Linked DNA regions of Lytechinus pictus. The protein of the gene in region 3 interacts with the protein of the main gene of each other region in a biochemical or structural test. Links are inferred from orthologs where the notes say so. Each region holds a gene or a part of one and is shown on either strand. Other genes may lie near its edges.

Region 1 (7,756 bases), on a different chromosome or scaffold from region 3:
CATGTGACAGCCTCAAAATGCAGCCTTTATCATCAAAATGCCTGAATCGTGTGTAAAGTGAATGGGTGCGTGAAACATTTTTTGGAAAGTCAAAAAGGGGCCTAAGCTTTCGATCCTAGCAGAATCTTCGTCGGAGGCAACCAACATTTTTTGGTTCAATCTGAAAATGACTGGCCAAGGTTTTTTTCCAAGAAAATCATACATTTCTTTCCAATTTTTAATAGCTTTTTGGCACACTTACTCATGAAAATATAAAAAACATTATCAACTGAATTTTTTTATGAAATAAAAAGAAATTCATGTTAAATCTTAAATTAAATAGTTAGGTGCACAGACATGCCCCCTGCCCAATTTATAAGTATTCATTCTGTGTTTCAATTGAATGGTTAAAGAGAAATTAGTTTAAAGAAATTGTCCAATAGCCTGAATCACCTGGTCTGAATAATACTTTTGTTTTTAAAAAAAATTGAAAATAGGTGACCAAGTGCTATTTTTATGGTAACTTGTAAGTTGAGTGAGGGGGGGGGGGTTCAAGTGTGCCAAATATAAGGATATTTTATGCACTGACAAAGTATCTGGCTCATTGCATTAACTCATTGAGTGTGCTTCTGGGACCCGTTTCATAAAAGACTTGCAATTGTTGTAACAGGGATCAGCAGCCAATCAGAATCAAGGTTTCCATGGTAGTTGCCATAATGGCAAAGTTACAACAGTTGCATTAACTCATTGAGTGTTCTTATACCCTTTTTACACACGCTAAAATTTCCTTAACCCCGTACTATAGGTGGGGCTAAATTGCCATTTAGCCCCACCTATAGTACGGGGTTAAGCTTAGCCCACTTTCTTTTTACACAGCATTTTTGCAAAGTGGGCTAACCCCACCTTTAGTACGGGATTATTTGGCCCTGCAAAAAAGCAGGGTTATCCCAGCAATTGCGGTGCTAAGAGCGATAGTACGGGGTTAAGATCGCTAGTGTAAAACGAAAGTGGGCTAAGCTTAACCCCGTACTATAGGTGGGGCTAAATGGCAATTTAGCCCCACCTATATTACGGGGTTAAGGAAATTTTAGCGTGTGTAAAAAGGTACGAGTGAAGTACTTGTACTACGAATGATCGACAAAAACCACTAGTCCGGGGTTAGCGAGTTTCGTGTGTGAAAAGCAAGCATTCCTTATCCGGGGTTAGCGATAACAATTTGGCATGTGTGAAAAGGAAAAAAAAATAGTACGGGGTTAAGGATAGTACGGGGTTAGCGATAGTCCGGGGTTAAGAAAATCCTGTGTAAAAAGGGTATTATTGATCTTCCTCAAAAGCACCATAGAAAGACACCCCCCTTCTTCTCTCTTCCTCTTCTTCTTTCTCTTCTTCCTTGTTTTCCTTCATGTCCTTTTTTTCTTCTTCTCCCTTTTTCTTTTTCACCCTTCTTCCTCTTCTCCCTTCTTCTTCTTCACCCTTCTTCTCCTCCTCCTCCTCCTCGTTTTGTTCTTCATTTATTCTTCCCTCCTACTTCCTTTTGCTTGCATTGTAGATGTAGATCTACATCTACTAAATGATGTGGCATTCTTATCTTTAAAATTGTTTGGCATCCCTTTCTTTATTTTGCACGAGTACTCTTTGAACCACAACAAGCAGTACAGGCGCACAGCCAATATGGGAGACTGTCTCCCATGAGAGAGATTATCTCCAATATCAGAGACTTTTGTGAAGAATTTGGGTATCCAATTTCAGAGACAGTCTCCAGTTTAGGAGACCAATTTCCTTTGTTCACATTTGCTGCAAAAGGATTACCTTGGCGGCAAATAAAAATGTGATAAGCAGATTCCTCATGAAAAATTACCCCTTTTCACCGTCTATTTTAAAAATTCACCGTCTACTTTTGTTTTGATAAGGATTTTTGTTGTCATCCACACACAAAACAAATGGGTTTCTGACCTCAGCGAGACAAAATTTTGGGTGGAAAAAATTATGCTTTTGTTGGTGTTTCTTTTGTTCTTTTGCAAAGCAAGTCTCTAATATGGGAGATTGTCTCCCATATTGGAGAGTCTCCCATATTGGCCGTGCGCCTCTACTGAACAAGTTAGCAAATTATTTTTAGACTTGTCTCAATCATTGACAATGTCATGAATGTCAATGCATCTCCAGAGTCCAGAATGGTTACTGACACCGGACCATCCAAGACCAACTTATTTCTAACTAGTTAAAGCCAAGGCATTATCCTGGTTTAAGTCACCACTCCATTCATTGCCGTTCATTTCGTCAATGGCAGTGACTTCTTTCATCTCCCATTGACTTTGTACACAACGAGCGCACACACACTGACACACACAAGAAGAGAGGTGACTTATTTCAGGAAAAGGCCGTTCTAATTAGGGCCTACTAAGTTAGAAAATCTATTTCGTCACACAACAATTTCAACAAACCATGCAATAAATTAAATGAAAACTCACTTTAAAACTGCCACAATTTTTTTTTTAATGGGGTAAAAATTTGGTCAGTTGGTGTGGACCCTTGCACAATCGCTAAATAAGTAGAACATTTATAAATAAGAGAGAAACTGAAAGAGATGACCGGCGATTTCGCTCCGTGCAGTATCTAACGTTAGATCTAAACCGAATCACGAAATTGTGATCCGCCTAATGCGACATGTGTGCATGAGAATCGCACGCGCCGATTAAGGAAATGTGCCTACACTCAATGCCGTCTAATTCGATTGCTAATAATTGCCTTGGCTTGGGCTTGGCTTTAAAGCCTAACAAAAATGACGCACACCACAACGAGACAACGACTCGAAAATGTTTATAGAGAACTTACAACTTTTCGTGTTACAGGGCAGGGCTACAATCAACCATTTAGAATATTAATAATCGGAAGGCAAGGTGGAGGTCGGCGGCGGTGCTCCTGCACTTGTAGTTGTGGAGTGTACCTTTATACACTGCTCGAGCTCTGGCGACCAATAACGCGCGACCTAGTACCTATGAGGTGAAAGTAGCGAGCTTTTGTCTTCTTCTTATGTTGGTTTGGGTGGCGATTAGTCATATTTGACTATTGTCGCCATTGACTCTATCTATAAAATCTCACTTCTCACATAATGATATTATTACCAATATGATGTATACATATATGAAATATTTTTATTGTGCATCTTTCTAATATGAAAAAGATAATTATAGTATATACAAAAGTTTGTCGTAACTCTTGTCAAAATGGCATATAAACAAATCTTCACCAAATACGCTTGCCCTGCCCTTTCAAAGATGCAATCACTGACCGGTCAGCACGGAGCGGAAACGTAGTAAAAAATCTATAAATCTCTCTAACTCATAATAAAACATCAAATTGATCAAGTGTCACACTGGAATATGCTCCTGAACTGAAAACTGTTTTTAATTGCGTTATAAGCATTGAATCTGAGAAGAGCAAATCCAAGTAGATTAGAAAATAACTAGAAAATAAATAGAAATACATTCTTGGTAGAACAATATTGTATGCCGCAATAAGCTTTAACTTCAGCAAAATATTTCATTCGGGAATTTGCATAAAGGTTGTTAATTTCCTACCTCAAATCTTAAAATGTGACATTTTGCGAAATGCCGCGTATATGACTACTTAGTTGAAAAACAAGCCATTTCACAGGAGGTTTTTCATGTAGGAATCTGAAATGGCACCCACATAATCCTGATATATTCTTTTTTCGTGTGAAAGGGTTTAAATTAGATAAATGACACATTTCAGAAGGTTTATAGGATAATTATTCCTTGTAAAAGGCTGATAATCCATGTTTTTTTTATTTACATTAGAAAAGTTTAGATTTCCGTGGATTTCCGTTTAAATTCTATCATCATCATTTTGCTAGATGTCTAAGCTTTAAGATGATACCAAATTTAGCTGCCCGTTTTTGCCCGTTTTCATGTTACAGCCGATTTTACTTGACACAACACCCCCAAAACCTGTTCAAAAACGGTCATTTTCATACCGCGCAGTCATCGCTGCGCACCGTGTGGGGTGTATACATTTCCTTTCATTTTTGCACGGCGAGGACGATTCCCCTTCCATTCCTTGAAAATGACATGAATTCCAGGCTTAATGCAAACAAAATAAAGGTTGATAACGCAAATTAGGGCTACCCGCCCCTCTTCCAGAGATAAAAGTTACTTGTAGAATAATTTCAGCCCAAAACCCTCCTCATAGTTATTCATTCGTGGTGTTATATACTCTGCGTTTTACCCAAGTCTACGCCGCTTGATAAAGCACGGTTAATATTTTTCAGATTTTTAAGTATTTTTTTATCTAATGATCATTTTGATGCCATCAAATTATTTTCAGAATCTCTTACGCACTTTTTAGGCATATGAGAAGCATAAACCACCGCTCACTCTGGTCAATCTTAAAGTAACACATAACACAAAGATTATATACTGCACATTGTTTAGCGTAATTTGTCTTTTCGCAGATAGATTTTAAGTAGCCAATCAAAATTTGGTATCAAAGTGACGTCATATCGGCTTTAAATTATGTTCAGTCGATTCTACGCCCAAAATTACCCTCAATCAACATGTTAAAGTAAAAATATAACACGGAATATAATTTTGGCGCACTTTCAACTCATTCTGGCCCACTGTGCGACGCCTCTAAATCTAGTCGGAATTTAAATAAGCCTATTATAAGTTGTAGTTTTTCTGAAATAGGCCTATAAGGGGAGGAGGTGTTAAAATGTAAATTAATTGATTAATAGAGGACAAGTCCACCCCTACAAAAAGTTGATTTAAATAATAAGAGAAAAATCCAACCAAGCATAACACTAAACATTTCAGCAAAAACGGATGTAAAATAAGAAAGTTACGACATTTTCAAGTTTTGCTTAATTTCACAAAACAGTTATTCATGCTTTGAAAGTTGAGAATAGGCCTACATTTGGTTGATCTTGTTCTCCAAATATTGATACTTCAATCACATTTGGCTGCAGGGTCCTGGGAAGGATTTTTTTTTACAGGGGTGGTGAAATTTGACAAGCAAAAAAAAAAGGGGGGGATCCATTACAAAATGCAGGGCAGTGATGATTGGGTTGTATTTTTTTGCAGCCTATATATGTTGAGTATCCCATTCAGTAATTTAACGATGTAGAAGATGTACTTTTATTTGCAAGTTCATAAAGTGCTCCATATGCTAGGTTTAAAGGACAAGTTCACCCTATCAAAAAGTTGATTTGAATAATAAGAGAAAAAAACACATTAAGCATAACACTGAAAATTTCATCAAAATCGGATGTAAAATAAGAAAGTTATGACATTTTAAAGTTTTGCTGTTTTCACAAAACAGTTATACGCCGCACATCCTGGTCGGTATGCAAATGAGGAGACTGATGACGTCATCCACTCACTATTTCTTTTGTATTTTATTATATTACTTTGTGAATTTTACTCTATTTTATTGAGGCTTCCAGCCTGGACCATCCCTTAAAGCATGCACGCGCGTGTTTAAGATTCTGGGCATTCTTAACGCATTTTTATCATGAAATCGTTGATAAAAATTTACTGTCATGAAACATGGATTTTAAGTATAGTTTGTTATAGAATTACTACAGGGGTATACATTATACTCACCAATGAAAATGCGAACGCGCAGCGCTAGCTGCATAGGTTTTGACAATCAAACCTGAAAAAGGATATTTTGAGAACTTTATGGAATACACGAAGAGAATATAGGTACTTGACAAATCAACTAATGCGAGCGCGCAGCGCGAGCTGAAAATGTTGATGCCCAGACAATAAAACAGACATTTTGCAGAGCACTAATTTTGAAAAACAATTTGTAAATCAACCGAAATAATGAATGATCGACGTCCAAACTGATTTATGTTTTGTATATTGACTTCAAAACTTGATATTTTCAGCTCAATATTGAGCAAGATATGTATTTCATCGATCATGCAATGCGAGCGCGAAGCGCGAGCGAAAATTTGATATAGTGACATACATTTTTTCCCCCAAGTCTTCTCCTTATTTCATTCACTCGTCTTCCTCCTTTTTTTTTCCTCTACTTTTTTTCTCCTCTCTTTTGCCTTTTTTCCTCTTATTTTTGCTACGCCAATATGGGGGGGGGGGGGGCCTCGACCCCGGCCCCCTGGATCCGCCTATGCCCCGGGGGGGGGGGGGGCACTCGACCAAAAAAGAGGTAGGGGTGTGCCGCGGGCGAGACAAAAAACGGGGGCCTTGGAGCGGGCTTGTTGTAAAAAGGAGGGTCCTCGGAACAGGCTTCGGAACTACAAATGTTTGTCAAAAGGGGGATCCTTGGAACGGATCGCCAGCGTGTACGTGAGTGCGTATGCATCCCTATGGAACGGGCATGATATGCGTGCATGATGCAGCTAGCGCGGCCTCCGACGGGTGCGCTCGCGCAGAGGCGATGGTCGGACAGAGCTCTGCGGCCGCTTTTCACCAAAATTGCAGCTCATTGTAGCAGATCAATACGACCGGAACGGCGTAACAAAAATATGCGAAGCTTTGGAGCGCTTTGGAGCGCTTTGGAGCGGATTTCTTTCTTCTTTTTTCTCTATAAGGAGAAAATGCTATGCTTTGGAGCGGCTTTCTGTGTTCTTTTCCTCAATAAGACTAAAATGCTATGCCTTGGAACGGAAATTTGAGTGTAAAAATGGGGGTCCCCTCCGAGGCACATACCCACTATGCATTATATACTGAGTGCCCCCCCCCCGGGCCTATGCCTCTAGCTGTCGTATACTGTTATACTAGTACGTTCAAAGTCTCTAAACAAATCCATTTCCTGATAACCAGTCCTAAGTACCCCCCCCCCCTTATCGTTAAATGCCCTCATTTACATATATAACACCCATCAGGCCCTGATGTATGTTATATATAAACAATTCTCAAGCATTTTGAGACTGTGATTTTTTTCGCTCTGTCACTACGCTCCCTTGCATAATATTAATAATGTATTTTTTAAAGGGGGAGAGGGACTAGCTGCTGGGACAGTATAAGGCTACCCCACAATGGGCCATTTTCATTGTATTGAATAAACCAATGTACAAAAAATTCTCAAGCCCCCTGAAGCCACCCCTCCCCCCCCCCCCAATCTTTTAATAGTCTAGAACCGCGCCTGCCCCCCTTCTTTATTTCTTTCTTTTCTCCTCTCCTTCCTTTTTCCTTTTTTCAATTATTTTTTTAAGAGGATGAATAGCGGGATATCGATCCCATCCTTAGGTATACGTGCTGTGATACCTTACAAATAGTCTTATAATTTCATGATTTTGGTTTGTCCTTTTGTAGACAGGGTACATAATTTTCCCTTCATGTTTGGTCTGATTACTTTACTCTTTTTCTTAATGGTCGCGCTGTATGGCCCGGCCCACCATGAAAAGTTTGTGTTTATAAGCGCAATATGGCGACTGTTCGCGACAGCGACACCAGCCTTTGGCTTCACAATAAACTCGGTGATAATGATGATCTTTGGTCTGGAATTACAAGTATTAGCACTCAACTTCACCAAGATGTTCTTAGAAACACACATGATTGCTTTCAGACTCTACACCCGACTGTAAAACTCAAACTCTTGATGGCAATTCTCCATATGCCTCTTCGAAAAGTGGAAGAGGTGAGTATTGTGGTCCCATCTATTCACAAGTTTGTATGCAGGATGAGTGAGTTAGCTGATACAGAGAGCTGTCAGAATAAAGCCTTTAAAGGAATATGTCTTAAATATGAATACCAAAGTCATTGCATTTTTTTTCAATAATAAGTTTAAC
Region 2 (7,455 bases), on a different chromosome or scaffold from region 3:
ATCAATTTCACAGTTCAAGTGTCAAAATTAAACACTAAAACTGAACAATGGTCAATTGCAAGGGGAGAAGATATGTGGAATATACCACCGGACACCAGTATGGGATCGCGGAAAAGGTTACTCAACTAGGATTGCTACACTCCTACTTAGACTTATTGTTATGTATTATTTACACAACAATATGACAAAATAACCATTCTTCGGGCGAACAATTAGTAAGTTATTTGAATCTAATGATTTTTTTTACAAATATAACAAAAATTTACCGGATTTCAAATGCCTGCCATTTCTTTAAAAAAACTAGGAAAAAAAATCCACCAACGTTATCAGTTAGCATGGTTAGGGAAAATTCTAGCAAATGTACTACAGTGCTTTTTCAATGTATTAAAATTTAAGTAAATATTAAAAAATAAGGATTTTGCAAAGTTAGGCTTATATCAAATTTCTGCTAATATATTTTGGGAAGTTTGTATCACTCATCAAAATGACTGATAATTCGAAGTCTTTCCCACATTTGCTTGTAAACTCGGTATAGTGGGTGATTGCATTACCGACCGGCCTTGACCTTGTATTACCGAACGCGCGCATCGTACGCGTCAGAAAATAATTTCATACGCTCAAACTTTGCTACATCCTTCCAAAGGAAACTTGAATAGAAATGATAAAAAATGGTAAAAAACACTTTTTTCACTCTTAATATTCTAAAAATAATAAAATATGGTCAAACTCAAAGTAGCTCATCAGCATGATCAGTGATTTTGTTGTTTTCTCAACTTTTTCCATAGAAAAAACACATTTTCGGTAATACGATACCTTTTTCAAGTGACCAAAAAATTAATGTGTAGAGGGGTTCGATTGGAAGCTAATACTAATAGTAATATCGTAAAAGGGAAAAACGATTTCGGCAAAATTTTTACATGTTTATATTTTGTAGGTAATTGTGTATTTATGGTGAAAGTTTGGTGAATTTTATGAGAATAATGTGTTTGATATGATTGAATTCATGAAAAGTGTTTGTAATGTAAATGATAAACATTTATGATTCATATTCAGACTCATAGTCATATTCTAGACCAAAAGCTTCGGTCTCTAGTGTTATGTTGGTTGTTCAGCTGAACTCCGTTGGCTTCACTCACCAAATACAGAGACCGAAGTTCTAGCGCGATCTGTACAGGGGACTCAATGGCCATATGTTTATGTGTGTTAAGGACGTTCCACAGTTATGTTTGTGCGCATTATGATCTGCGCATAGTTTACACTCTGCGCGCTGACGTCACAATGGATGAACAGGTGATTAATTAGCTGCGGGTATGAGCTGATTTTTCTCATCTTCTGCACTTTAACTGCAGATCCGATGCATTATTTCATGAAGCTAAAAACTGAAATTATTCCATGGACCATTCAAAAACAAATTCTCTACAATTTCAAAATACTTTACTCTGCAGTGCTGCCAAGAATCACGAATATTAAACCGAGTTTGAATGAATGGTATAGTGGTTTTGATTTTTTCTTCACATAGATACAAAGCATTCGGCGCATTTTTGGTGTTTTAAAAAGCACATTTGCTCTAATAAAAATGCTGATAGTTTAAAAACAAGCACATGAACCCCTATTTTTTAATGTTTGTACCTCTTAGGTATACCTTCCTCTACAACTCTGCAAATTCTGGTGAAAATGACATGGATTTTGAATAAAGTGCAGCATTTATTGTACTTTTGTAGTTTGTTACTAAAAATTTCACATTTTTTAGATTGGGATTTTGTTATCTTTTACCCCATTTTTAAGAACTGACAGTGCTGTTAAACTTAAAATTGCAAACAAATAGCACTATAAATAGATTATCCATTCTAACGATACAATTATTAACTCTCTTGCGAAATTTGATGACTTTTTCATGTATTTTGACTGAGTAATAGAGGTTTAAACTCATTGTAGTAATCTTGGGCGGTCTAAAAATGCCAAATTCTTTCGAATGCGCAATTCTTAAGAACATCAATTTGGGTGAACTTTGAAGCTCTATAGCAAAAAATCAAGCACATGGACCTATGTTGTATTTTGCACATTTCGAATAGTAAGGTTCTAAAGTATCTATGTGCAAAGTTTGGTGAAAATGACATGGATTTCACTTTAACTGTGGAACGTCCTTAAGTATGGATAAAACAGGGCAGTGAAGTTGCGCGACAGCCGAGGTAAGTCACTGTTTTTGTTCCTTTTAACTTGATTTTCCCCGTTTTTTCGCAATTAATGCCAAGAGGGAATGTTAATTTGCATTTCGGTCGCGTTAATTTTCAAAAGTTTGATTCATTAAAGACAAAAATTGAAGAGCCCCGACGGGGGGATTTTGCATTGTAAGTCCCCTAATGGTGGCTGCACGATAGCGAGCCATCTGTGTATGAGGAGAAATTTAAAAAATAAAAAAATGTTAAAAAACTCCTCGAAACAGACGGCTGCCAGCTGTCTAAGTCATATTCATACTCAGTCATAATCACTCATACTTAGCCTTACTAAATTTCAACGATAATGACGATTCCATTGTTTTTAGCATTTTTTTAAGGATTTTAATATCGCAGACATTTTGGAGAGGGAGCAAAGCGATGCTTACAAGTGTTGCTTACAAGATTGCTTGGCGAGAGGAGAAGGCCTAGGCTAGTTTCAATGGCGCGCTCCGCTGAGTTGATTGAGGCCGTTACGTGGCAGAGGCCTAGCCCTACGCTACAGACTTCCATGCCGAAGCAGCCCGACATCGACAACAACGGGCGAGCGAACGGGTGGTGTATGCTGCAAACCGGCGAACTGGACACACGGTCATCATGAGACATGACGATTTAGACTTGAATTGAGCCGAGGGTAGGCTAGCTTTATGCGGCTCAGTCAGACTATTCTTACGGGATACCATGGCTTGTGATGTAACTTACTTTTCACCTTGACTTTCATCTTTGTCTTTAACGTTAAGAACGGATTTGACTCCCTGTCTTGAGCAATCCCAGGTACCGGTACACTTGCGATCGATCGCTGCGCGCTGGAAGTCGGCGCGGCTAGCTAGCTATCGGCGGAACCTTCGCTCGTGATCCGTTTGAAAATTGGTAGGCACTTATGATCCAAGTTTGAAAGGAGACTCGTAAAATGACGTCAGTCTCGCCGATGAATATTCATTAGATCGTGGTCGTGCGTGTTCAATACACACTGCGTGCAGGCATGCAGATAGTTATATGCGAGGAACTTTGGCTCCAGAGACAAGTTGTCAAATAACGTGTGTGTGTGTGCGTGTGTGTACCATCGGCTGGTAGTATGCCATGCTGTCTAAGACTTCAAACGCGTCGGAGAGAGTGCATGGCAATTCGGTAAAACGAAGTTTCCGATATAAAGAGATAATAAAATAACACTATGTACAGTACGCCCGGGGGGCCACTTACATTGACGAGTGGATACCATGCGCGACCAAAAAAAACACGTAAAAAGGATGTCTTTTTCAAGAGAGGGCACGTTACGTACGTAACGTGATAAGGGTGTCAAAAACACAAAAATATTGAAAAAAGGGTATCTATTTCCAGTACGTTGAGAGGCAAATGTCAGATCAGGGGAGGCAGGAGTACAATCAGGTTTTTTAAAGGGAAGAATAGTGTAGAATAAAAGGTATTATATATAGCCAAATGATCTAGGTGAGGGAAGTGAACAATGATATGTTTTTAAAAAAAAGAATGAATATACCTTACCTGAATATTATGGTGAAGCCAATTTAAAAGGAGGTGAGACAAGTTTCAATGGAGGTTTTAAAAAAGAATAAACTGTATTATATGGTGAAGCCAATTTAAAAGGAGGTGAGGCAAGTTTTAATGGAGGTTTTTAAAAAGAATAAACTGTATTATGGTGAAGCCAATTTAAAAGGAGGTGAGGCAAGTTTCAATGGAGGTTTTTAAAAAGAATAAACTGTACTACAAATTATGGTGAAGCCAATTTAAAAGGAGGTGAGGCAAGTTTCAATTGAGGTTTTTAAAAAGAATAAACTGTACTACAAATTTAAAAGGAGGCGAGGCAAGTTTCAATGGAGGTTTTTAAAAAAGAATAAACTGTACTACAAATTATGGTGAAGCCAATTCAAAAGGAGGTGAGGCAAGTTTCAATGGAGGTTTTAAAAAAAGAATAAACTGCACTACAAATTATGGTGAAGCCAATTTAAAAGGAGGTGAGGCAAGTTTTAATGGAAGTTTTTAAAAAGAATAAACTGTATTATGGTGAAGCCAATTTAAGAGGAGGTGAGGCAAGTTTCAATGGAGGTTTTTAAAAAGAATAAACTGTATTATGGTGAAGCCAATTTAAAAGGAGGTGAGGCAAGTTTTAATGGAGGTTTTTAAAAAGAATAAACTGTATTATGGTGAAGCCAATTCAAAAGGAGGTGAGGCAAGTTTCAATGGAGGTTTTTAAAAAGAATAAACTGTACTACAAATTATATGGTGAAGCCAATTTAAAAGGAGGTGAGGCAAGTTTCAATTGAGGTTTTTAAAAAGAATAAACTGTACTACAAATTTAAAAGGAGGCGAGGCAAGTTTCAATGGAGGTTTTTAAAAAAGAATAAACTGTACTACAAATTATGGTGAAGCCAATTCAAAAGGAGGTGAGGCAAGTTTCAATGGAGGTTTTAAAAAAAGAATAAACTGTACTACAAATTATGGTGAAGCCAATTTAAAAGGAGGTGAGGCAAGTTTCAATTGAGGTTTTTAAAAAGAATAAACTGTACTACAAATTTAAAAGGAGGCGAGGCAAGTTTCAATGGAGCTAGGTTTTTAAAAAAGAATAAACTGTACTACAAATTATGGTGAAGCCAATTCAAAAGGAGGTGAGGCAAGTTTCAATGGAGGTTTTAAAAAAAGAATAAACTGTACTACAAATTATGGTGAAGCCAATTTAAAAGGAGGTGAGGCAAGTTTCAATGGAGGTTTTTAAAAAAGAATAGACTGTACTACAAATTTGAAAGGAGGTGAGGCAAGTTTCAATGGAGGTTTTTAAAAAGAATAAACTGTACTACAAATTATGGTGAAGCCAATTTAAAAGGAGGTGAGGCAAGCCTCAATGGAGGTATTTAAAAAGAATAAACTGTATTATGGTGAAGCCAATTTAAAAGGAGGTGAGGCAAGTTTCAATGGAGGTTTTAAAAAAATAATTAACTGTACTACAAATTATGGTGAAGCCAATTTAAAAGGAGGTGAGGCATACATATGTAATGTCTTTCAAGCTGTATGACAAAAATATTCTTTTCCATCCAACATCAGCTTCTACTATTTTTTAAGGTTAGTTTTTATTGTCATGTTGGCAAATTGTGAAATAGTTCATGTTGAAATATGTTGTATTACCTGTCATGCATTTGTAATGTTATTTTTTTAGCATATATTCTGTCATCATTTTCAGTACATAAAAGTTTATTCAATGTATGCCTTTACCAAAGTTGGCCATAAGCACAGTGGGACCAACTATCACTGAAGACAACACAACAATTACTCAAAATATATGCATAGCCTTATGAATGTACAAGTCAATAAAATCTACTATGACTACATTGCTTTTTTTTGTGCAACACAGTCATATTTCACTTGGATCAATTCAAAATTGAGTGGTGTTTTGGGGGTAATGCTATGGTAACTGCAGTTCTGTTGTCCTCTGACAGTTGGTGTTGTAAGGATGTGATTGGCAGTGTGTGGACGTCATGTTATAAGAGAAAAAAGTTAAAGTGAGAGTGTTGGCTTTGAAATGGACTCAACCTATGAAAGTTAAAGTTTGTGCTGCAGAAACTGGTGTGGTAGTGGGATGATAATGATGATGAGGAACAGGGCCGGTTTTCAATGCTACTCTTAAAGCCACAATTTCAAGTATATTTTACTCAGTATTTTGCAAAAGTAAAATACTTATCCATCTTTGGTATTCAATTGCATTTTTTTTGGGCTAAATATTTTGCTTAAATGTAAGTCAGCCATCTACTAGACTTAAGTCTACATATACAAAAATGATACGCACAGAAATACATTCACACATTTGGCACTATTTGGCTCAAAATTTATAACATCACAATGGGTATTAGTATTTAGTTCAATTTGGATAAGGTAAATTCTGAGATCTGATCTGCATACAAGTTTAAGCATTTTGATAAGCAAGCCAAATTGCTAAGTAAAATACTTACAAAATAAAAACTTAGAATTTAATAGGCGGCCGAGGTATTATTTTCTTCCAGAGGACATGTACAGATTTCTTGTTGACAAAGGATGACATGATGATTATTTTGCAAATATGGCTTATTAAAAAATATATTATGTATATTCCATTTCAGTGACAATTGCATTTTTGGGGAGGGGATATTACGTATTTGGGAATGGAAAAGTTCAAAATTAATGCAAACTTAACCTATTTACGCAGGGGGGGGGGGGGGCTCTGAGCTCTGCGATTTAAAAAAAAAGTCTTTTGCATGTTTTGAGACCAGTTTTGCGAAGCCCGGGTACTGGGTTCTGAAAATTACCAAACAATTTGTAAGTGCATATCAGACAAAAATGGCTCAAAATTGTGATATTTGTGTACCACGTCAATGGAATATGCGTTTTCAACCAAAATTCATGAATGCCTAATTGTTTTTAGTTTTGTTGAACTAAACTGATTTATTTTATCTGTTACGAGAGTCCGATCGAGCATCGTTGAAAAAAAACAATGCAATACAAAGGTAAAAACACAAGAAATACATTATCGAAGAACACCACAAAGAGTTTCTAAACCAAAAATTAGAACATTTGGAGCTTTATTTAGGGAGTTAGAGGAATAGGTATAGTATACTAATTATGCACAAATGAGCATAATCAATTAATAGCAATTTGCATGAAATAAATAACTACACAATTTTGTGGATTATTAAAAGCAATTGCGATCTTTCTCTTCACTATTCATTGTTTTTAGAAACCTCATTGAAGACTTGCCTCATGCACCTCTCAAGATGGCTTCATCATTTGAATTATATTCTACACTTATCATTCTTTAAAAAAAATCATTGTAGACATGCCTCACCTCCTCTCAAATTGCCTTCACCATAACTTGTAATACAGTTTATTCTTTTTAAAAACCTCCATTAACTAATTACCTCACCTCCTTTTAAATTGGCTTCACCATAATTTGTAATACAGTTTATTCTTTTTAAAAACCTCTATTGATCAACTTGCGTCGCCTCCTTTTAAATTTGTAGTACAGTTTATTCTTTTTTAAAAACCTCCATTGAAACTTGCCTCACCTCCTTTTAAACTGGCTTCACCATAATACAGTTTATTCTTTTTAAAAACCTCCATTAAAACTTGCCTCACCTCCTTTTAAATTGGCTTCACCATAATACAGTTTATTCTTTTTAAATACCTCCATTGAGGCTTGCCTCACCTCCTTTTAAATTGGCTTCACCATAATTTGTAGTACAGTTTATTCTTTTTAAAAACC
Region 3 (7,140 bases):
ACTATCCTTAACCCCGTACTATTTTTTTTCCTTTTTACACATGCCAAATTGTTATTGCTAACCCCGGATAAGGAATGCTTGCTTTTCACACACGAAACTCGCTAACCCCGGACTAGTGGTTTTTGTCGATCATTCGTAGTACAAGTACTTCACTCGTACCTTTTTACACACGCTACAAGGGATGGTCCGGGCTGAAAGTATGTATAGCTTAATAAATAGAGCAGAATTCACTGAGCAAAATGCCGAAAATTTCATCAAAATCGGATAACAAATAATAAAGTTACTGAAGTTTAAAGTTTAAAGTTTAGCAATATTTTGTGAAAACAGTCGTCATGAATATTCATTAGGTGGGCTGATGATGTCACATCTCCACTTGTTCTTTTGTATTTTATTATATGAAATTAGGTTTATTCAATTTTTTTCCTCAAAGAACTAGAAAAATTGGATTGACAACTGATTTAGTGCATTAGATATATATTGCTGCAACTTAATTCATTATAAGGGAGACATATTATTCACACAAGTATTAAATATTGAAAAAATTATGATTTTATGTAATAACATAAGAAAACGGAAAGTGGAGATGTGACATCATCAGCCCACCTAATGAATATTCATGACGACTGTTTTCACAAAATATTGCTAAATTTTAAACTTCAATAACTTTATTATTTGTTATCCGATTTTGATGAAATTTTCGGCATTTTGCTCAGTGAATTCTACTCTATGTATTAAGATAAAAATATTTTCAGCCCGGACCATCCCTTTAACCCCGTACTATAGGTGGGGCCAAATTGCCATTTAACCAGTGGCGTAGCTACGGGGGGCCTGGGGGGGCACGTGCCCCCCTGAGATTTGGTGTGCCCCCCAGGTGCCCCCCCCCCCCCCCCCCAGAAAAAATTGGCAGAGCAAAAAAAAAAGGAAAGAAAAAAGGGAGAAGAAAAGAAAAAAAGGAAAAGAAAAAGGAAAAGAAGAAGAAAGACAGAAGAAAAAAAGAAGAAGAAAATAAGAGGAGGAAGACGAGTGAATGAAATAATGTAATTAAAAAACAAATCTTTTTATGTTACTATATAAAATTTTTACTGGCGCTTCGCGCCAGAATTGCCTGTTCGATGAGATTCATATCTTGCTCAATAGGCTGATATGGAGCAAGTTTTGAAGTCAATATGCAAAACATATTTTAGCTCGACATCGAGCTTTCATTATTTTTTTTTCATTTACAAATTTAAGTGCTCTGTAAAATGTCCGTTTTATGGTCTACATATATCAGCATTTTAAGCTCACGCTGCGTGGTCACATTGTTTGATTTGCGAAGTTCATATTGTCTACGTGTATTCCATAATGTTCCATGTAACAAATGTATTCAGAATGCCCAGATTCTAGGTCTACATCTACAACACGCGCGATAGCCTGCATGTTCTTTATTTAAAATGTACATGTACTTGAATTATCCAGTTTCACATCAGAATATCAATAATTGTCTGCTCACGCTTCACGATCGCATTATTAATGATACCCAATTGACTATATCCTATTTATGATTTACAAAATATGAATAGAATGTCCCGCTTTGAGGTCTAAAATCTCAATTTTCTTCCTCTCGCGCTTCGCGCTCGCATCAATTGTTTAGTTACATACCTATCCCATTTATTAATACAAAAAGTGCTTAGAATGACAATTTTTTAGGTCGGAATGTAAAAAAAAATTTGCTCGCGCTTCGCACTCGCATTATCGAAATATATACCGTCTTCGTGGGTAACTGTAAGCAGTCCGTAACAGGTCCCTTTTCGATAATGCTAGAACAGTTGATAAAAATTTATGTTCGCGCTTGGCGTTCGCAGTAGCCATCTAGTTACATACGAATCTTGTTCAGGATCACACATAACATTGCCCAGAAAATTAGATTAAAAATACATGAGAGTAAAAAAAAAATCGCTCGCGCTTCGCACTCGCACTTTTTATCAGGCTTATGAGATTATTTCATGTTTATGTTGTTTTATAAGAATAAAACTAAGAAGTGACTGATATAGGTGAAGATAATTTCGGGCCCCGTCCCCTATTGGCGAAAGTCGGATCCGCCCAAAGTTGTGACACATACACACACACACCGGAAAAATGGTCGGTGCCCCCCCTGAAAAAGCAAGGACCCCCAGTGCCCCCCCGGGAAAAAAATCCTAGCTACGCCACTGCATTTAGCCCCACCTATAGTACGGGGTTAAGCTTAGCCCACTTTCGTTTTACACTAGCGATCTTAACCCCGTACTATCGCTCTTAGCACCGCAATTGCTGGGATAACCCTGCTTTTTTGCAGGGCCAAATAATCCCGTACTAAAGGTGGGGTTAGCCCACTTTGCAAAAATGCTGTGTAAAAAGAAAGTGGGCTAAGCTTAACCCCGTACTATAGGTGGGGCTAAATGGCAATTTAGCCCCACCTATAGTACGGGGTTAAGGAAATTTTAGCGTGTGTAAAAAGGGTATATGATTATGCACCAAACTCGCACTCCTCGCACTTCAAGTTATCATTGTTTTATGTAGTGACATATGCTTTTTTCATGACTATATACTTAAAGTGATTTAAGGCCTTAATAAAACATTTCCAGTCTGTGCTTACGTTCGCATTGGTGTGGACCGATATAGATACCGGCCGGGCTGGTGTTAAATCACCGGCGTTTCTGCAGTGCACGAATTCCTAAAGACAGTCCTTAAAATGTCCCTTTTTCTGATCTAATTATAACAAATTTTCAGCTCGCGCTTCGCGCTCGCATTACTTAATTAGTGAAATAGTAAATTCCTACAAACAAGCCATAGAATGCCCCTCTTCAGGTCTGAATTTCAAAAATTGTCAGCTCGCGCTTCTCGCCCGCAATATTTCATTAGTGAAATACGTATCATGTTCATGATTACAATGACCACAAAAAGTGCTTCATGTGCCAGTGTAATTCTAACAAAATCAGCAAGCGCTTGGCGCTCGCATTAGATGACTATGATGAGATACGTACGCACTTCATAAATTCCAAAAGATAGTCCTGAAAATGTCCCTTTTTAGGGTTAAGTTATACAAAAAATTTCAGCTCGGGCTTCGCGCTCGCATTGTTTGTTTTGAAGACAGATACGTATCATGATTACAAAACTTTGCTTATAATGTCCCTTTTTAGGACTGAATACCAAACATTTTCAGCTCGAGCTTCGCGCTCGCATTATTTGATCACTAAGATACATATCCGTTTAATGGCACAGTCCTTAAAATGTCTCTATATCAGGTCAGTATACCTGGCAATTGAGCGCGCTACGCGCGCCCACTTAATGACTCTAAATTTTTGCTGGTGCCCCCCCCCCCCCCCCATGCCGTGACCCACGGTACGCCACTGTTAGCAGTAGCATTCTTGAAATTTTAGTTGAGACATCTTGCACAGAAGGTCAATCAAAAATTAATAAATCTTTGATTTTGATATTATTAATGCATAGGGTATATCATTATATACTGCAAGTTAGCAACTACGGCACACTAGCCTTTCTATTTTGATCCAAAATGTTTATTTTTAAAGTGCAAATATCTTTGTATATCTTTGTATATAATTTACCTTAAAGTATTCACCAAATGCCACTAATTCAATTCTAAAAATTCAAAATCTTTTAGCAATTGATTATTGTAGGGGGGGCACATCCCCCATCAGACTCCCCCTGTGCTCACGTTGGCGCTGTCATGCCAAATTTAGTTGGCAAATTTAGCTGGTACACCCCCCCCCCCCCCCAACAAAATGCTTCTGGCTACGGCCCTGCAATTCAGGCCTACATTAATTATTTTATCGGGCTATCTGATTTTGATGCAATTCTATAATTATAATGCCTGTTTGGTTATGTTTCCTCGGTTTATTCATGCAATTCAAATTGTTTAAGGCTGCCTGAAATTAACCTCTTTTCTAAGAATACGAGAAATCCGATTATCATCTCTTCCCAATGCTGTGAAATTAACTTCGTTAGAGATGATTCACTTTTCTTGTTACGTTACGCAACTATAGTTACTACAGCAAATCACATGTTGTGTTCAAGCGAATGAGGGCTCTGTGATGTAAGTTCTTTCCGTATTGCCTGTATTTGGCAATATGATCATGACGTCGTACGCGCTGTTCGCCAGCTATCACTTCAACAAGTGTAGCTCGCACGCCCGTTTCTTTTGCCCTCAAGGTCGCGCGCGTGCGTGAATGGTAATTTCGTCGTACCGTACCGTACCGTAGATTCGATTGCAATGCAGTTTGCAGAAGATGCACGTAAAATACGCAAACTACAACAAATAGACAACGAAAAGGCTAATGAGTAACGATTCCATGATCAAGTTCCACTAGATTCTGGGCATTTGGTGCCTTTGTTTACGTTATTTACAATCTTTAGAACCTGTTTACTGTATAGTCGCAATGGCATTAAAAAGAATAGCAAAGGTGAGTTAGAATTTACAATCACAATTCACACTTTTTGTTTTGGACTTTTTTTTTCTGGACGTGCAGTTGCAGTGCATGGAATGGATCATGAATGTTTGTGTGTGAATCAGGATGTTCAGAATATGTTCTGCACTGCAGATGCAGTGTAGATCTATTCCAAACATGAATTAGACAAGGCCCTGTGTCTATAACTTACGTTTAGTAATATAATGTGTATCACTATCATGTGTATAATCCAACTCCAAGGGAGAGTGAGTAAAACTAAAAAGAGACGAGATCTAAAATTTAGTAAAAAGTAAAATCCCTAGTCGTAGACCACTCATCATGCTCATTCAACAATGAACAAACAAGGTTAATAATAATATGAATTATGATTAGACTCAGCTCAGCAGGCGATGGTTCATGATCATGTATGATGGTGGGCCCCAAGTCTGCGCACCTAACAATTTGAGTTAAGATTTAACATGAATTTCCTTTTTATTTCACAAAATCTTTGGTTAATAGTGTTCCTTATATTATTAAGAGTAAGTGTACCAAATTTCTCATTAAAAAATGAAAGAAAATATAAGATTTTCTTGAAAAAACCTCGGGCAGTCATTTTCAGATTGAAAAAAAAAAATGGTACCCCATGTCTGCGCACTCATTCACTTTGCACACGATTCGGGGATTTTGATGACAAAGGCTGCATTTTGAGGCCGTCACATGAAATGCCCTGAATTCATTATTTTTCAACCATTTTGAGTCGGATTTTTTTATGAATACCTGTCTATGTATTGCATGTGTAAAGATCGTGCTCGTTGCGTATCTTCTTTTACTAGAATCGCGCAGATACGCGGGTGCGCAGACTTGGGAGACCGCGCAGACATGGGGGAACTGACCATACTATAATGTAGGCTCCACAACACTGCACTACCGCTACACCTAACCGAACCCTCGGGCCACAAATACTCGCTCTCAAAAACTAGTAACAAACTGTCACTTTTTGCTAAGACTTTAATTTTAAGAGAAGCAACACGTCATTTTAAAAAAAAGTCTAAGGCTAAGCGTACTCTACTACGTGACTAAAGTTTAAACATAATTTGCGCACATTTTAAGAATTATGAAGTTGATTTTCAATCAACAGTTCACACAAAATTAATCAAAATCATAAAGTTCTACCAGTTGGAAGGCAAGATCCCAAAGTCAAATTCGCTTGACGGAATTATAAAGTAGGTCAAGGGTTTCGCTCGTATTGCGATCTCAAAATTCCATGGCGATCGACTAGTGCGCGCTTGGATGAAAAAGTGTCATAAAAAATTGTGACCTTAATTTGCGCACGATCGTTTTGCAAAGCTTTGGAAAATAAATCAAGCAGACAAAGGTAAGATAATTAGGGGAGATTGGGGTTAGTTGGAATATTTTTGACAAAAATGGCTGTAAAGTCCAAAGAGATTTTATTCAAGAAACAATATATCAGCTTTAAACATAGAGGCTACAAATGTACCCATAAAATTCTTTAAAGGGATGGTCCGGGCTGAAAGTATTTATAGCTGAATAAATAGAGTAGAATTCACTCAGCATAATGCCGAAAATTTCATCAAAATTGGATAACAAATAACAAAGTTATTGAATTTTAAAGTTTAGCAATATTTTGTGAAAACAGTTGTCATGAATATTCATTAGGTGGGCTGATGATGTCACATCCCCTTTTGTTCTTTTGTATTTTATTATATGAAATTATGTTTATTCAAATTTTTTTCTCCAAGAACTAGAAAAATTGGATTGACAGCTGATTTGGTGGATTAGATATTTATTGCTGCAACTTATTTCATTATAAGGGAGACATATTATTCACACAAGTATGAAATAATGAAAAAAAATGATTTTATGTAATGACATAAGAAAACAGAAAGTGAGGATGTGACATCATCAGCCCACCTAATGAATATTCATGACAACTTTTTTTACAAAATATTGCTAAACTTTAAACTTCAATAACTTTATTATTTGTTATCCGATTTTGATGAAATTTTCAGCATTTTTCTCAGTGAATTCTACTCTATGTATTAAGATATAAATATTTTCAGCCTGGACCATCCCTTTAACTCTATGAATGGTTACTGAAAAAATCCACCTTGAACAAGACCATCGCAAGTGTTCCAACTTACCCCCATATAAGGGGTAATTAAAGTTGGACCACTGCATGGTCAATTAAGAATTATACTAAAACTACTACCCGGTACATGTACATGATGTTACATGTAGCTTATTTGCTTATTTTTCATGTTCAAAATATTAAAAGTATTTATTCTGATTTGTTGAACTTGATGTTTTCTATTACACATATACAGCCACTCACACAAGCCGACTGTGTATTAAAATTGTGCATATTATTTTGTGTGCGTTTGATTTTACAAGCATTTAAGTGTATCAGCAATTTCATGTACTTTTGCACCAAATTTACATAACATTAATCAGATAATTATTTATACAATTTAGTTTTTGTCTCACCTGCATAGCAGAGTGAGACTATAGGCGCCGCTTTTCCGACGGCGGCGGCGGCGGCGACGGCGACGGCGGCGGCGACGGCGGCGGCGGCGTCAACACCAAATCTTAACCTTAGGTTAAGTTTTTGAAATGACAGCATAACTTAGAAAGTATATGGACCTAGTTCATGAAACTTGGCCATAAGGTTAATCAAGTATTACTGAACATCCTGCCTGAG
Region 4 (6,862 bases), on a different chromosome or scaffold from region 3:
CTTCCAAGTCCATTTCTCACGAACTGAAGTGTCGATCCCTTTCACCCTCGCCTCTTCACCTCAATCAAGAAATTTCCGTTGAAAAGCCATAATTTTTCACAAACTTTTCTAGTTTTTTCGCTCGCACGAAAGAACTCCCGTATTGACAAATCACCGTAATCACGCCTAGCGCGATAACCCAGGGAGCTCCCGCCCGTTTCAAGGGCCGAAGTTCCCTGGGTTATCCTAGCGCCTGCATGAATTGAATGCAGCCATCGCGCGCGCACCGAGTACACGCTGTTTCCCCCACTGTAACGCACGACGGTCTGGTGGGTACGGTAATACAAAATGGCAGCGCCCATGATCAATACCGACCGTGTGCGATAAACTTCAAACAACATCAAACTTCAAATAGCCGTCGAAGAATCAAGTTTTCGAATGCATGACTGCAATTTTCATAAAAAGTAACGACAGCAAGTTGCCAGAACTTATAACTTTGTGTGAATTTGGGCGCAATGTGCCCTTCATTTTCTAGCAATTTTTGCGAATAAGGCATTGAAAATAGACACCCTAACCCCCCTTCATTTCATACCAGATTTACATCGATCTCAGAGACCACCTATGTTGGTGAAAAAATATCGGGAGAATCTCAGGCCTGACCTCTACAATCAAGTAGTTAATGTCATTTTTCTACCATCTTGTAAATTTTTGTTGCCATATCATGATCTTTGGAGGAGAAATGGGGGGTGAGCATATTTATGCTAATTTATTCATGAGATAATGTTTTTGGCTCTCACTACTCCCAACACTAATTTGCAAGTTGCACCATACATGTACCTCTATGACTCCAGCAATGCTGAATGATATGTGTATATGCTGTGTGTGCGTGTGTCATGTGATCACGAGAGTGGCTGAATGTGCAAGTGCAAGGTGCAAGGGGAGGGCACATTTTCCTTTTTGGATGAAAAATTTGACAAGCAAAAATAAAATTTTTTTACCTAAAAATGCATATAATTTCGTCCAGGTAAAATTTGAAAAGCAAAAAATATTGAAAATATTCCTATTAAAAATATTATGCTGTGACTTTCAAAGGGGGGCACACATGTAAAAGCAGCATTTTACATTTAAATTTTGATAATGGCTCTCAAGGGGTGGGTGGATGTGCCCCCCCCCTTGGATCCTCCACTGGTCATGTACAGGAGGCATGCTGCAGGCTTCCCAAAGTTTTAAGTGGGGCATGAAAATATTTTACTTGCAAGCATTAAAATGAAACATTTAAAAGGGGAGGGGTTATAACTTGTAACTAACCTCTGGTGTCAAGCAATGGCAGATCCAGGGGGCACAGTCAGCCGTGCCCCCCCCCCCCCCCCCTTGAGAGGCACAAATAAAATTTGTAATATAAAAATGCCGAAAAAACACAAGTGTGAAGTGTGCCCCCCCTTCGAAAGTGAAGACTTTATTTTTTTTGCTTGTCAAATTTTTCCTCTGGAAAATGTGCCCCCCCCCCCTTTGTAAAATCCTGGATACACCTTCTGGTGTCAAGATACTATATTTGGAAAGAGAAATACCCCTTCCGTCCCTGATGTAACCCATTTGCTGTATAAAAAAATATTTGAAGAGGGGGCTTACGAACCCCCTTTGTCTCCTTAGGCTTCACACGATGATTGCACATGAATTGTAATTGCACACCAGGCACATACGCCACGTGCAGATTCCCCAGCTCTTATACATGTTCTACCGATGACCACTGCACTAGAGACACACAGAGCTTGATCCATTCGACCAATTCGGGCCATTCATTTCACCCACAAGTTGAATGCGACTTTTGTTATTCATTAGAGGTACGTATCGTTATTCATATCAAACAAAATTTTCAAAAGGGTCATTATTTATGCCAGTTCATTCTCACTCAAATTCAAGAAAAATTATGACTCATTGGTCTGACATCGCCTTGCGTTTAAACTTTCAGAACGATATGTGACACACTTTTGAAGAAAATTACCATCGCCCAAAGAAAAAAACCTTCCTTTATTCATGTCGGCTTTAAGAAAACGTCGCCTGAGAAATAAAAGATAAATAAAGGCCGAACAAAAATTGATAATATTCATAAATTATGCAAACGAAAAATCAATTTAAAAACACATACAATTTTGCTCACCCGTTTCATATTTTCAGCATCAAAAGACCTTTTCGCACTCGAAATCATGCTCGGAAAGACAGAAAATTGATGTTATTGTTATAGCAATGATAAGAGAAAATAAAACCCGGAAGTCAGATCCTGCGAAACTCGATATTTTCAAGAAAGCAACCTTTTTTTCTTATGTACGAGTGACAAGATCGTCTTTGTAAAATGGATTATCATATATTATGGACCTCAAACTACACAATGTTATTGATAGTTTTCAATCAATGTAATAATTTTAGAGAGCATAAAGTAATTGCATTTTTCCAGTAGATCCGGTAATAAAGGTAATAAAGTGGTAATAAAGACTAACTTAAAGTTAAACTAAAGTAATATTTTTTCCCTTGTACGTACCATTTTCATTTCAAATTTTTTTTTGAGTGTTTGTAGAAATTGTTATTGATCTCGCCAATTTAACATGTTGACAGATACGAGAATGTCTTAAACTCAGACCATCTGTGATAGCTTAAGTTAGGAATAGGTCGGACTCGGAGTTGGACTAAATTCACTTTTTCATCGATATCCACGGATCACGCAACACACAGCTCTGCTTCATTCACACACATACACACACTGTATGCATGACACACTATCATTATGAGCTGAGTGACATAGCAAGTATTTCTACACCGTACACGAAATCAAGCAATGAACGAAGTCTAACGTTAGTCGGTGAATGTCGGCTTGTCGCGATATCACACGTGGTTATGGTAATTCATATAAGAAATAACGCTAGATTCAGTGGTAAAAATAATGTGTTATTGCTAATGTGCATTCTATGATGTCTATATAGTACTTTCTGTAGAATGTTCTGACCAATATTGCATATTCTACTCGAAAATCATAACGAAAGAGACAAAGTCATACCTCTCAACCTCAGCGACAATTTCTCGGATAGTGCATTGTTCACCGGTTATAATTATAACCCGGCGCAAGCTCACGTGACCAGCTGCAGGGAAATGTGGCTTGCAACATTTTTAGTATTGTACAAAATTATCATACATGTAGTATACTTACCAAAGCAACCCAAATGCAGTCTAGGACTTGCTCGAATTACAATCAAATTATCTCTTGATTTAAAAAGTTGATAAGTATGTAGACAAGAACAATTGGTAAAATTGCATTTCTGAGAGTTTTCTTCTCAATTTGACCGACCAACGTTCGGTAGCGAGGCTAAACGACGTGTACAAGACAGTATATCTATTTGGTTTGGTAGTATATGGAGTGAGATAGACCCCAAATATATTGCCAGTGATATACGGAAGACACATATTTTTGCGTAGAGGCCTACGCGTATCTCGTATACAGATAATTATGTCATGTACTACGTTAAAAGATGAAGAATGGGATCACTGGAACGATTGAATTAATGATAGTAGGCCTGCCTATAAATGAGGCCTATATTTAGTATCATTTATAGTCCCGGTTTAGAATATAAGATATGGGAATTTCATCAGCGCCGACTATGTTGTTGTTGTTTTTTCAGTATTATGGTTGAACCCCATGATATGATCTACAGCTATAGTCTTGGGTCCAACTCATCACTGGATTATCATTCGGCCTCGAAGATATAATCTTTTTTCGGAATCAATATAGGGACCAAGCAAATGTTTGAATACTCTAGGAACATTAAAAAAGAGATAACTATAAAGGCCAATAAGCTATCAATTGTTAAACATGTACTTACATGATATGACTATCCTTTCCCCTGAGCGTTGATGAGTAAACGCTCAAAGGAATTTAATTTGAAGGGGAGGTTAATGCTGATGTCATGGTCTTTTAATAGACAAATGCTATCAGTCCGAAGCAAATGCGGAGGCGCCGCGTCCGCCTGCGGTTGTGGTAAAAGGGGGTAAAAGAAACATCATCGAGAGGGGCCAAACATACATAAATTCCTGACAGGCCTAAAAAATAAAAGAAATACAGAAATTCATTTCCCCCTTCATTAACTTGACGTCATGAATGAACAAGTACGGATTTGTTTTATTAAAAGTCAAGTCCACCCCAGAAAATTTTTATTTGAAGCCAAATAGAGAAAAATCTATAGCAGCACACTGAAAATTTCATCAAAATCGGATGTAAAATAAGAAAGATATAATATTTTATAGTTTCGCTTATATTGATCACATTTCAGTGACCTATATAGACAGACGATGATGCGGCTCGCTCACTCATTGTTTGAATTATACGATATTTCATTTCAAGTATAAAAAATATATATTTGGGCAATCATCATACTGGAATCTGACAGAATAGGTCTAGCTCAAGAATATATGTCAAAAAGTTACTCCCATTATTTTTGTAAATTTTAGAATTGGCAGGACTTTTTCAAAGTGTTTTTTTTTTAATTGATACGCTATCTAGTAGAGTATCTTCAAGGCGTAGGGATGGGGGGGGGGGGGGAGGTGGACAGGAGTTGTTGCATCACCAAACTGAGTGTAGCGGGGGTTTCGGATTCCGGTGACCCGGGTTCGATTCCCAAGTGGTGCGCTAGTGCCCTTTGGTAAGGCATTTATCCTCATTACCAGGTCCCTCGGAGAGGACCTTAAGCCGTTGGTCCCCTGGTTGCTTGTTCACAGGCATTCGTGCTTATTTAGCAGTCAGGTAAAAAACCTCGGTATAAGATAATCTTTTTCCATTGCCTGGGTCACTGCTTTCACTACTTAGATACCTAACGCGCCTCTCTCAATCCACAAGAGTTTGCTGTGTTACAAAACCTTTGCAGTATATATTCAATGGCAAGTTGTGAATTCCTTTCCAAAGCAGACAGTTCCAAATGTAAGATTCCCACAAGAACGTTCCTGAGAAGTCCTCTCTCCCAGGAAAGTTAGCTAGAGCACGAGTCTCTTGGTAAGACAGTGCACTTGACCCAAACCACATCTTATTTTTAGAAGACATCTTGCCGGTAGCAGGGGGGGGGGGGGCTGTCCTCGATCCTTTCAATACTTTGAGGTGTGGCTAATTGGGTTACAGTTGTCTCTATGCGCTTGCCTGACATACCATAGCAGTATTCATATTATAACCACTTTGGACCTGGATGGTTTAACAGCCAACTGCACCATCTAAGAGCACCTGGGGTGTTTCACAAAGGTGTATATACGTATGACTTATAGTCGCAGTTATATACCGACACATATTATTATGATATGCAAAGCGCAATCTTCAGATCAAGTTAAATCAACTTTCCTATAAAACGTAATATGCACAAATGTAAATATCTCGGTGTGGTACTAAATGAATATTATATAACGTGGAATGACCAAATTGATAAAATGAAATGCAAAATTACTTCAAGTCTATACTGTTTAAAACGCGTGAGACCATATATATCTCAAGATACTGCTATGTCATTGTACAAATGTCTTATTCTACCCCACTTTGATGATTGTTCATAATATTTGGAGAAATGCAGGGAAAACCAAAATCAATCGTCTTATATTGTGATGCAGAATAGGGCCCTTCGAATTGTGCTAAAAGTTGATTCCTTGTTTAGCACATCAGCATTATACACCAAATTGAATGCTGAACCAATCGTCCTTAGATGGAAAAAACAAGCACTTGTATTAATATTTATGTTACTCAATAAGCTTTACCGCATTTTATATGTAATAGGATTAGTCTTAAGCAACATTCTACCCTCACACTCCGTAACTCAAACAATATAATAAACCTTAAAACACCCAAAACAGACTTTGCACGAAATAGCAGCCTATATCTTGCCATACTTGACAGAACGTATTCGCACTTTACCAAATCTAAATTTATTTGAATCTGAAATTGAAAAAGTCCTGAAATCTTGATAATCCTTTTTTTTTACAATTGTGTTCTTGTTTTTTCTGTTTTGATTTTGTTTTTCTGTTTTCTTTCATCCTCCCTCTTTGGTTTTGTATATAGGTTTTAGTTTTACTTATTTTTATTGATTTGTTTTTCTTATATTGTTTGTGTATTGCACGGCCTCTCTGAAAACCAGCCATTGGCTGATCGAGGGCTTTTTACCGTGTTTAAATAGAATAAATCAAAATCAAATCTTATTGATTAATATAGACAGTATAGGGCGTGTCCTCTTGGCATGATCTAACCAATGCGGTCATGCCTTTTCTAACACACGCAACTAGGCATTTTAAGTGTGATTCTAAGTCATTGTGAAACACCCCAGGTCATATTTCTTTTAAATAAAATTGGCTCATCTAAAGTTGTTGATATACCATCAGGGCCCCATTGCATAAAAGTTAGTATCATGAAAACTTTGCCATCCAATTGTAACTACCATGGCAACGATGCTCAACAGCAAATCAGAATCAAGGATTCCATGGAATGATGGAAGTTACCATTGAATGCAAAAGTTGCCATAATAGTAACCTTTATGCAACAGGGAACAGGTGAGGAGCTAAGTATGGGGCAAATACATTAGAACAAATCCATGTTTAGCTACAAAGTATTCATCTAAAAAAATCTGTTGCAATGATTTCAAGAGTTAGGTCAGGACCACAACAAATTCAAACCTATCTGGGTTTTATTTTTTCCTTTTTATCACTCAATCACAAATGCAATTCAGAGCTATTGAGGGGGAAATTATTCCACGTTTAATTTCAATGAGATATTATTTTTTTAATACTGAGAGAAGGGAGCATTTTTATCGCTACATGTTATTCAACCCCTATTAATTTGGCACTCTAACCCTTCAGGATTTTTTTTAGATTT

The links.
Region 1: the proteins of ubiquitin-conjugating enzyme E2 D1-like (region 3) and E3 ubiquitin-protein ligase MARCHF5-like form a complex in vitro, tested with the Homo sapiens proteins (4 studies listed by BioGRID). The link is inferred for Lytechinus pictus from reciprocal best matches to the Homo sapiens genes UBE2D1 and MARCHF5.
Region 2: the proteins of ubiquitin-conjugating enzyme E2 D1-like (region 3) and anaphase-promoting complex subunit 11-like form a complex in vitro, tested with the Homo sapiens proteins (6 studies listed by BioGRID). The link is inferred for Lytechinus pictus from reciprocal best matches to the Homo sapiens genes UBE2D1 and ANAPC11.
Region 4: of the proteins of ubiquitin-conjugating enzyme E2 D1-like (region 3) and ubiquitin-like modifier-activating enzyme 1, one has a biochemical effect on the other in vitro, tested with the Homo sapiens proteins (8 studies listed by BioGRID, with this or other methods). The link is inferred for Lytechinus pictus from reciprocal best matches to the Homo sapiens genes UBE2D1 and UBA1.

The regions. Positions count from the first base shown.
Region 1 is NC_087256.1:23,777,558-23,785,313, reverse strand, and holds the start of E3 ubiquitin-protein ligase MARCHF5-like, read right to left. Parts: upstream 3,027-7,756; 5' UTR 2,812-3,026; intron 1-2,811. Other genes in the region: negative elongation factor A-like, read left to right, coding at 7,393-7,605. UniProt on the Homo sapiens protein: Mitochondrial E3 ubiquitin-protein ligase that plays a crucial role in the control of mitochondrial morphology by acting as a positive regulator of mitochondrial fission and as an important regulator of immune response.
Region 2 is NC_087249.1:3,773,952-3,781,406, forward strand, and holds the start of anaphase-promoting complex subunit 11-like, read right to left. Parts: upstream 3,023-7,455; 5' UTR 2,935-3,022; coding exon 2,894-2,934; intron 1-2,893. UniProt on the Homo sapiens protein: Together with the cullin protein ANAPC2, constitutes the catalytic component of the anaphase promoting complex/cyclosome (APC/C), a cell cycle-regulated E3 ubiquitin ligase that controls progression through mitosis and the G1 phase of the cell cycle.
Region 3 is NC_087262.1:4,913,023-4,920,162, reverse strand, and holds the start of ubiquitin-conjugating enzyme E2 D1-like, read left to right. Parts: upstream 1-4,140; 5' UTR 4,141-4,412; coding exon 4,413-4,436; intron 4,437-7,140.
Region 4 is NC_087247.1:36,375,558-36,382,419, forward strand, and holds the start of ubiquitin-like modifier-activating enzyme 1, read right to left. Parts: upstream 3,010-6,862; 5' UTR 2,525-3,009; coding exon 2,516-2,524; intron 1-2,515. UniProt on the Homo sapiens protein: Catalyzes the first step in ubiquitin conjugation to mark cellular proteins for degradation through the ubiquitin-proteasome system.